2 linked regions of the Oryctolagus cuniculus genome follow. The protein of the gene in region 2 interacts with the protein of the main gene of each other region in a pairwise test. Links are inferred from orthologs where the notes say so. Each region holds a gene or a part of one and is shown on either strand. Other genes may lie near its edges.

Region 1 (4,424 bases), on a different chromosome or scaffold from region 2:
GGCCGCCCAAGTGGCCGTTCCACCTGCTGCGTCACATCGCCTGCCCCAGGATTCCTGGTTTTCAGGTATTTTTCATCAGTTCAGTTCAGTGGACTAGTTTTCATGGTCTAATGACAGCCGCAGCTCACTAGGCTAATCCTCCGCCTGCGGCGCCGGCACCCCAGGTTCTAGTCCCGGTCGGGGCACCAGATTTTGTCCCGGTTGCCCCTCTTCCAGTCCAGCTCTCTGCTGTGGCCTGGGAGTGCAGTGGAGGATGGCCCAAGTGCTTGGGCCCTGCACCCCATGGGAGACCAGGAGAAGCACCTGGCTCCTGGCTTCGGATGGGCATAGCTCTAGCCATTGCAGCCATTTTGGGGGTGAACCAATGGAAGGAAAACCTTTCTCGCTGTCTCTAACTCTTCCTGTCAAAAGAAAAATAAATAAATAAATAAAATAAAAACCAGCTGTCCTCAAAACTCACTAAGCCACTACCCTGCATTCTGAAAGGCAAACGGCACCTTTCCCAAGCCTTCGAGGGCGGGCGCTCCCAGAACCCGGAAAGGATTCACTGGCCAGGCCGCACCCGACAGCACCCCAGGCCCTGGCAGAACAATGTACATCCCGGCTACCACAACCCATAAAGTAAGATACACGGTTTTTTCTTACAGAAACAGTATTTGGACTTTTATAATACACGTGTACCATCCCGGGTCCCAGCAATCTACTCAAATGCAGTCACTTGAAGAGAATTCAATGAAGTGATGACTTAAAAGGTGCTGGGGGGTGGGGCACAGGACCACGCACCCTGGAGAGGGAGGGAGGGACGTCACCCGTGAGCTGTGCCCTGTGTGTGTGGGGGCAGCGCCTGCTGGCGGTCACCCCCAGGACAGGTCTGGGCACCACTCTCTTCTGTCCCCGTTTCCCTGCCAGGGCTCCTACTGGCCAACCCATCCAGGAGCCAGGGGGCAAAGGGAGCGTAGAGGCGATGCGGCTCGGCCTTCCGGGCAGCAAGCAGTGCAGGGGCCGCCGGGAAGGCAGGAGGGGCCCAGGAGGGGCGGGACCCGGGAGGGGCGGGGCCCTGGAGGGGCGGGGCCCAGGAGGGGCTGGGCGAAGGGAACCACAGGCCCACAACCGCCTTGGCAGGCAGGCACCAACTGGACCAAGACAAGCACGCGGAGAAGAGTGGAGTCCACCACCTCACGTCCAACCTGCTTCTTTCTCAAGTGCCGAGGGACCACTTACACTTGAAGTTATAATAAAACCAGCACAGGGCAAGTTAAGAGGCGGAGTCCTTTGTGGAGTAAGAATAACCCTGTTTACCTCCAAGACCATGGAGCCGAATTCTTTGTCTTTGTACAGCTGTTTAGCACAGGCGAGGATGGTGGACGTCTTTCCTGTCCCCGGAGGGCCGTAGAGAAGCAGGTGTGGCAGTCGGTCTTCACTAATGAATTTCTGAACTGAGGAAGACAGGGCGCCACCGTCAGTCCCTGGGACTGGCCCAGCCCCGGGAGCCGCGGGCTCCGCACCCAGGCTGTGGGCAAGTCAGAGGCAAAGGCAGCAAGGAGAGGGGAGGGCTCGACGCCTACAGCCGCAGCCCACGAGCCTGATCAGGCTGTGAACTTCTACTCAGCAGACACGAGTAACTAACCCCAGGTACTCACTGGTACTCAGGATGTCCCGGTGAGAAATGAGATCGTTCAGCGTCTGTGGCCGGTACTTTTCGACCCTGCAATACAATTCAGAATATATACGACATGCGTAAACTCGAGAACATTTCCTATGTGCAGAAGAACCCTTTCGTATCCCAACTCAAAGAGGAAGAGAAAGGAAGCCTTGTAGGTTCCCGTATAGACCTGTGGTTCTCCACCAGGGCGATCCGGGGCTACCTGGTGACATTTCTAGTGGTGACAACTGGGTGTCACTACATCGTACAAGGCACACGACAGCTCCCCTGTCCGCGTCCCCCACTCAGTGCAGTAACTAGCCCATCATGTTAACAGCCCCAGATGGGAGATGGCGCTCTCATCTCACCTGTCCAGCTGTCTGCCTCCGATGTCAACCTGAGTGGGCACCGACAGAGACTTCCACAGGGAACTCCTACCCAACACCCACCGCCGGACGCAGGTACAGAGGAAGTGCCCTCTATGCATACAATGGAATTCTGACACTCGCCACACATCGTGTGATGCCACTGACACGGAGAGCCCAGAACAGGCAAAAACGGGGAGTGGCTCCTCTCGGGGTGACGGGAAATGCGGCAAGTACAAATGTGCCACCGCGCAAATGCTGCCTGATGCGCCCCTGCCCCCACCCTAGTCGTGGACACGGGACGGGGAAGCGCCAGGATCTGAACTCGGACCACCGGCAGCAACCCAAGGTCCCAAGCCTGGCGTCCCGCCTGCGTCCCAGGCGAATCGGGTGCCCTCTCCACCGCGCGCCAGCCTCCACCGCCGCCCAGCAGGGCGCCTGATCCGCTCCGCGGCGTCCGAGGGCAGCCCGCCCCGGGCTCCTCCGCTACTCCGGTCTAGAGCTTGACCAGCAGCTCCACGGCAGACTATGGCCAGAGGAACGCGGGATCGAGCCCCGGCGCTGTCACCCGGCTGGCACCCGGCCGCGGGCCCAGGAGGGCCGCCACCTGCGCCCCCGCGCGCGGCCGACCCCTGCCCGCCGCGCCCGCCGCGCCCGCTCCTACCACGGCAGGTTCCGCATCTTGGCCGCCGCGGGCTGCTCCTGCTGCTGGACGGCTGAGCTCTCCATGGCTGGGGGACCAAGGTGACCGGGTCCGCAGTGGCTGTGGCGTCCCTCAGGGAACCCCTGCCCAGAAAGCAGTCACCGTCCCACCCCTGGACCCCTGTAGTTAGAGTTCGCGCGCAAACGCAACTCTCGCGAGACTTGGGGCTGCTAGCTTCCGACTTCCTTCCTAGGTCCCGCCCCCTCCCCGTTGCTACGGCGCCGGTTGCTAGGTTACCGGAGGCGCGGACCCGCAGCCTCCCTCGGCTCCTCCCCTCCAGCCTGCTCTGCGCGCTCTCAGCTACCCAGGGGATTCCAGAGAGGGGGGCCAGGGGCCCCGCCAATCATCCTTACAAATTAAGGTCTCAAGGCCAAAGCCAATTCCAGCCATTACCAAGATTCAATCAATTTCAAAGGATCAGATAGCAACCAGAGCTAAAAAAGAAATCCTAAGGCAAAAACAACCCAAGTGACAGGGGCAGCTCATGCATATAAATATCAATAACGGCGACATAAAAATGCTCACAATCCCTTTCGGCCCCAAAGCAGGGAGGTGACTACTTGGACTTGGACACAGCTCCAAACAGCCCCGCTCCCTCCTCACTCGCGGAGTTTAGAGGGCTGACCTCCAGGAGAGAGACTCCAGAGAGAAAACAAAAGAAAAACAAACCTTCCAGCTGGGTGGTTCCGTGCAACTGGAAAAGCATAATTAATAAACACACAAGAGGGAGCCCGGTGCTCTGAGAATTGCTATCAGAATTTTAGTGTTTGGGGGCCGGCATTTGGCACAGAGGCTAAAGGGGCTGCCCGGGTCTGAGTCCTGGCTCTGTTTCTGGTCCAGCTTCCTGCTACTGCACAGGGAAGGCAGGGAGGGCTCAGGGACCTCCGTCCCTACCGCCCGACTTGGGAGACCCGGGTTGAGTTCCTGGCTCCTGGCTTCAACCTGGCCCCAGCCCCAGCTGTTACGGGCATTTGGGGAGTGAAGCAGTGGCTGAAAGATTTCTCTGTGTCTCTGCCTTTCAAATAAAATGAAAACAAAAGCATTAAAAATTTTATTTTAGTGTTTTTTTTTATTCCTGGGGAGAGAGGATTCTGGACCACTTTTGTCTTTTTCAGCAATGAGTGTGTGTAACATCTCTAATAAAATACTTTAGGAAAAGAAAAGGAAAACATGGCAAGAAAGACAACAACACTGGGGTGAGACGACGTTGCCCAGGGTTCCGCATGACACAATCCACAAAAGCTGCAGGTGAGACCACGCTGTGACCTTGCCTTGGAGACACACCCTACTTCTGTGAGTTGGGAGATTCAGACGAGACTGGCCTAAGTCCTCATAAAACTCCCTGTGCACCTGCTGTTCTGTTTGCTTGCAATGCAGAATTCTGTTGGGGGACATGGTATCATGTATTCATGAGGTTATTGTCTACAGGGTGCTTCCCCAATGGATTATAATAAGCTTGTTGGGAGAGAGAGGCTTTGAGTTATCAAAGCGCTGGACTCACAGGGTATGGCTAAAAGGAAGCACTCACTAGTTCTTTGGTGAATGAATGAATGACAATAGCTAATATCTGCTATGCAGTTACTACAGGCCACTTTTCCAAGTGCTTCAGTTGTTGCAAGAAGCCCGAGTTCCTATGGTTGATTCTACTTTGTAGGTAAGTGATGTGTTCCAGCCCTCATTTGCTGTAAGGGTCAAAAATAGATCTCACCGGGAC
Region 2 (3,802 bases):
CTGCTCTTTTATGTGGTGGGCAGACACTCCCGGCCTCCTTTCATGCCCCTGCTCTCAGGAGTTACAATGGTGTCAACCAAGCTGGAAGACTCCCTAACTCTGGGGACACCCTGCTCAAGGACCCCGGAGCAGTCACAGCCCTGGGCTCACTGCAGAGGGACTGGCAGGGAGGACAGTGCGACCCTCACTGTTGACCTGATCTTCGTGACAGCCTGAAAGTCTCCAGAGCCGGCAGTTCAGGGCAGATGTAGCAGTGTCCACTAAAAGCCATCACAGTTCTAGGTACTGGGGGAACAGCAGGGAATAGGAGAGACCAAATTTCTGCCCTCACGGGACTTGAAGTCTCCTCTCTGTGCTGGTGAAGCCAACAAGGAGACTCTGCGCCTGTCCTACTCACCCGGGGGAGGCAGGAACAAAGGAGAACAGTGATACACCTGGAAATAGGGTCGCAGAGTATCAGAGAAGGAGGCCTTTGGGAAGGTGAAGAGGTGAGCACCTGTACTCATATTGTAAAAAGATACAACTCCGGCCTCAAAGTCCAGAAAAACTCCCACCACCAGGGGCTGCTGACTGAGATAGAGAGGAGTCTGGGGGAAGGTGAGCGCAACATAGCCTCTCTTCCTGCACAGCCTGATGGCCCAGAAGCCAGACTGCGGCTTCTGCTTTACCCCGAACCCCCTCTGCACACTTTCCACACAAACTCCCAAATCCCACCCCGTCCCTTCTCCAACATCCACTTCAAAGAAATGCTTTCCTGAATCGAAGCTCTCACAGCCCAGGACACAGGGTAAGGCACTGAATCTCCTGGGAGACGCGGCGAGATTCTCCTGGGGCCACCCCCGGGTCACCTGCCTCCGGTCTTCAGACAGGGTCAGTTCAGGATGGGCTGTAACTGGATCCAGAGTCACGTCGACTGCAGAAAGACAACCACAACAAAAGAAACCCCAAACGTCGCTTTGGGTTTCTCTGTGGCTCTTCTAACTTAAAGGGGATGCTCAGCTACTCGTTTTTTACCAGGTAACCAGCATGCAGCACCCACGTGAAGCATCGAGCACACTGACGAGGGACAGCATCACAGCTGCACCTGGCCTACGGCAGTGCGCCTGCTCGGGACAGGGGCTGAGCGCGTTTACTGTTTGGGTCCCTTCCACCCCCAGCACGTAAGGACGTTTGAGTGCACGCACCTCGATAGCTCCTTAACATCTTCTTCACATCAAAGTAAAGCTCAGAAACGTTGCACGTCGTAAGAACCTCCAAGGAGAAGACCTCTGGCGCTTCCAGCTTCACAGCCCAGCTCCTAGAGGAAGCAGGGCCAGAGATACCTGGAGGGGTGCGTTCCCTGTAGCCGCACACGTCCTCCCCGCACCCCTCCCGCAACCCTAGAGGACTTACCTGTCCAGCGTGCCCTTCACATCCTGTAAAGACACAAAAGCAAACGGTGAGTGTGTCACCATCTCCAGGTGTCAGGGTTTGGCACGCGGTGCTGTCCTCCATTCATGCTCACTCCAAAGAAGCACGGTGACCCCAGCCTTAGATGTGGACAGATGCTCCAGGGAATGGTTCCTGCCCTGGCCTCCAGGACATGCAGTGTGACAGGATGCTTATCACCCTCAGCATCTCCTGCTGTCCCGGATGAAACCCGTGGGAAGCAGCTGTGTCGACAACAGCATCAGCATGCGGGCCACTTGGGGAAAGGGCCACACGCTTTGCCCTGGCTCCCCCTGGCAAGATGTGCACCAAGGTGGCGGCTGCAGGTGTCCCGTGGTGGTGGAGCAGCCATGCTACGCTCTCAACCTTACAGTGGAACAACCATCCCGTTAGTGGGGACAGAACTAACAGCTCCAGCTATTTACCTTAACCGGGAGGATCCTTGGAGGTGTCAGAAGGCCCCAGCACAGCTCTGGAGCAAGAGCTCCACCAGAGAGTAAGGAAAGGTTATCACTCACTGGCCCCTGGAGGAGTCTTTGGGAGAGAATCTGAGAATCAGGGTTCTGTGCACACAGGACCAGGGGCAAACGGTGGTAAAATTATCCCAAGGTCCACCTGGCCACTCCGTGCACTCAGAGGAAGGAGGCTTTTCTAATTAACTTAAAGAGGTCCTGTGAATGAATGAGCCCGTCCTGCTGAGACAGATACACACCCCCGCATTAGTGTGCCACTGCTGAGCGAAGGCAGGCACCCACGCCAGCCCCCCACCTGCACCTCCCCCAGCCTCACCTGCAGCACTTGCTGGGCCTGGCTTTGACACTTTTCCTCCAGCCCCTGGATTTGGCTCCTGAGTTCCTGGCTCTGCTTCTCCAGACTGGCCTGACCATCCTGCAGCCTCTTCAAAACCTGCTTCTCCTCTTTCTCCAGCCTCCAGAGGTAAGAATTCTCCTCTTTTTGTAGAAAGCTCTGGAGAGTCTCAAAATCACAGCGGATTTTTTGTCTCTGAGTCTCTATCTTCTCCTGGAGTTAAGAAAGTATGGTCAGGAGCCAACACTGTGTCTCAGCAGGTTAAGCCGTTGCTTGTGACACCCGCATCCCACGTATATCAAGGTGCTAGACCCAGTCCCAATGTCCTTGTGTCCAATCCAGCTGCCCATTAATGCACCCAGTAGATGATGGCCCAAGTACTTAGGCCCCTGCCACCTACGTGGGAGACCTAGATGGAGTTCCTGGCTCCTGGCATCAATCTGGCCCAGCCCCAGCTGTTGTAGGCATTTGGGAAATGAACCAGTAAGTGGATAGACTTCTCTTTCTCTCTGTCTCTCCTTCTCTATCACTCTGCCCTTCAAGGGAAGGAAGGAAGGGAGGAAAGGAAGGAGGGAGGGAGAGAGGGAGGGAGGGAAGGATGGAGGGTATAGTCAAAAGTGGAAAAGACCACATATCCAACCTTGAATGATAGGACAAACAAAATGTAGTTTATAGATACAATGGAATATTATTCAGCCTTAACGAATGAAAATGTGAAACATGATACAACATGGATGAGCCTTGAAAATATTCTTGCTATGTGAAACGAGCTAGAAAAAAAAAAAAGGGATAAATATTCTAAGATTTCATTTACAAAAGGGAACTTCAAAAAGTTCATGGAAAATAGAATTAAAAGAAAAGTTTGTTTTGTTGCAAAATATTTTTAAAATCCATGCATAGTTTTTTCTATAATTCATATTTTCCATGAACTTTTTGAAGACCACTCGGGAGGTACCTAGAATAGTTCAATTCACAGAGAGAAGATATACTTATCAAATCGTGGTTACCACATCCTGGGAGAAAGGGAGACTGGGAGTTAGTAATCACTGGATACAACGGTGCCGTCTAGAAAATGGAAAAAGTGGAAATGGATGGCGGTGGTGCTGCTTCACCACGTAAAATACTTAACACCACCTAAGTGTAACACTCAGGAATATCAAAATGGTAAGTTTTATGGTATGTTTATTTTACCACAAAAAGAAAAAGAGGGGCAGGTGTTGCGGTGCAATGGGTTAGGCTACCGCCTAAGATGCTGGCATCCCAGAGCACAGGTTCAAGTCCTTGCAGCTCCACTTCTGATCCAATCCCCTGCCAATTCACGGGGCAGGCAGCAGAAGATGGCTCAAATGCTTAGGCCTCTGCTTCTCACATGGGAGACCCAGATGGAGTTCCAAGCTCCTGGCTTTGGCCTGGCCCAGCCCTAGCCATCGCAGTCATTTGGGGAGCAAACCAGCCAATGGAAGCTCCCCCTCTCTGCCTCTATCTTTCTCTATAACTCTGCCTTTCAAATAAATAAAAACATATTTTTAAAAACCAACCAAACAAAAAAACTTAAAAACAACAAAAA

What was found.
Region 1: the proteins of TRIM38 (region 2) and RFC5 interact in binary tests that used the Homo sapiens proteins (3 or more experiments, as listed by UniProt). The link is inferred for Oryctolagus cuniculus from reciprocal best matches to the Homo sapiens genes TRIM38 and RFC5.

Annotation. Positions count from the first base shown.
Region 1 is NC_091452.1:14,198,154-14,202,577, reverse strand, and holds the start of RFC5 (replication factor C subunit 5), read right to left. Parts: upstream 2,902-4,424; 5' UTR 2,737-2,901; coding exon 2,672-2,736; intron 1,706-2,671; coding exon 1,641-1,705; intron 1,437-1,640; coding exon 1,300-1,436; intron 1-1,299. UniProt on the Homo sapiens protein: Subunit of the replication factor C (RFC) complex which acts during elongation of primed DNA templates by DNA polymerases delta and epsilon, and is necessary for ATP-dependent loading of proliferating cell nuclear antigen (PCNA) onto primed DNA.
Region 2 is NC_091436.1:153,298,104-153,301,905, reverse strand, and holds part of TRIM38 (E3 ubiquitin-protein ligase TRIM38), read right to left. Parts: intron 2,449-3,802; coding exon 2,218-2,448; intron 1,416-2,217; coding exon 1,393-1,415; intron 1,298-1,392; coding exon 1,185-1,297; intron 914-1,184; coding exon 390-913; 3' UTR 1-389. UniProt on the Homo sapiens protein: E3 ubiquitin-protein and E3 SUMO-protein ligase that acts as a regulator of innate immunity. Acts as a negative regulator of type I interferon IFN-beta production by catalyzing 'Lys-48'-linked polyubiquitination of AZI2/NAP1, leading to its degradation.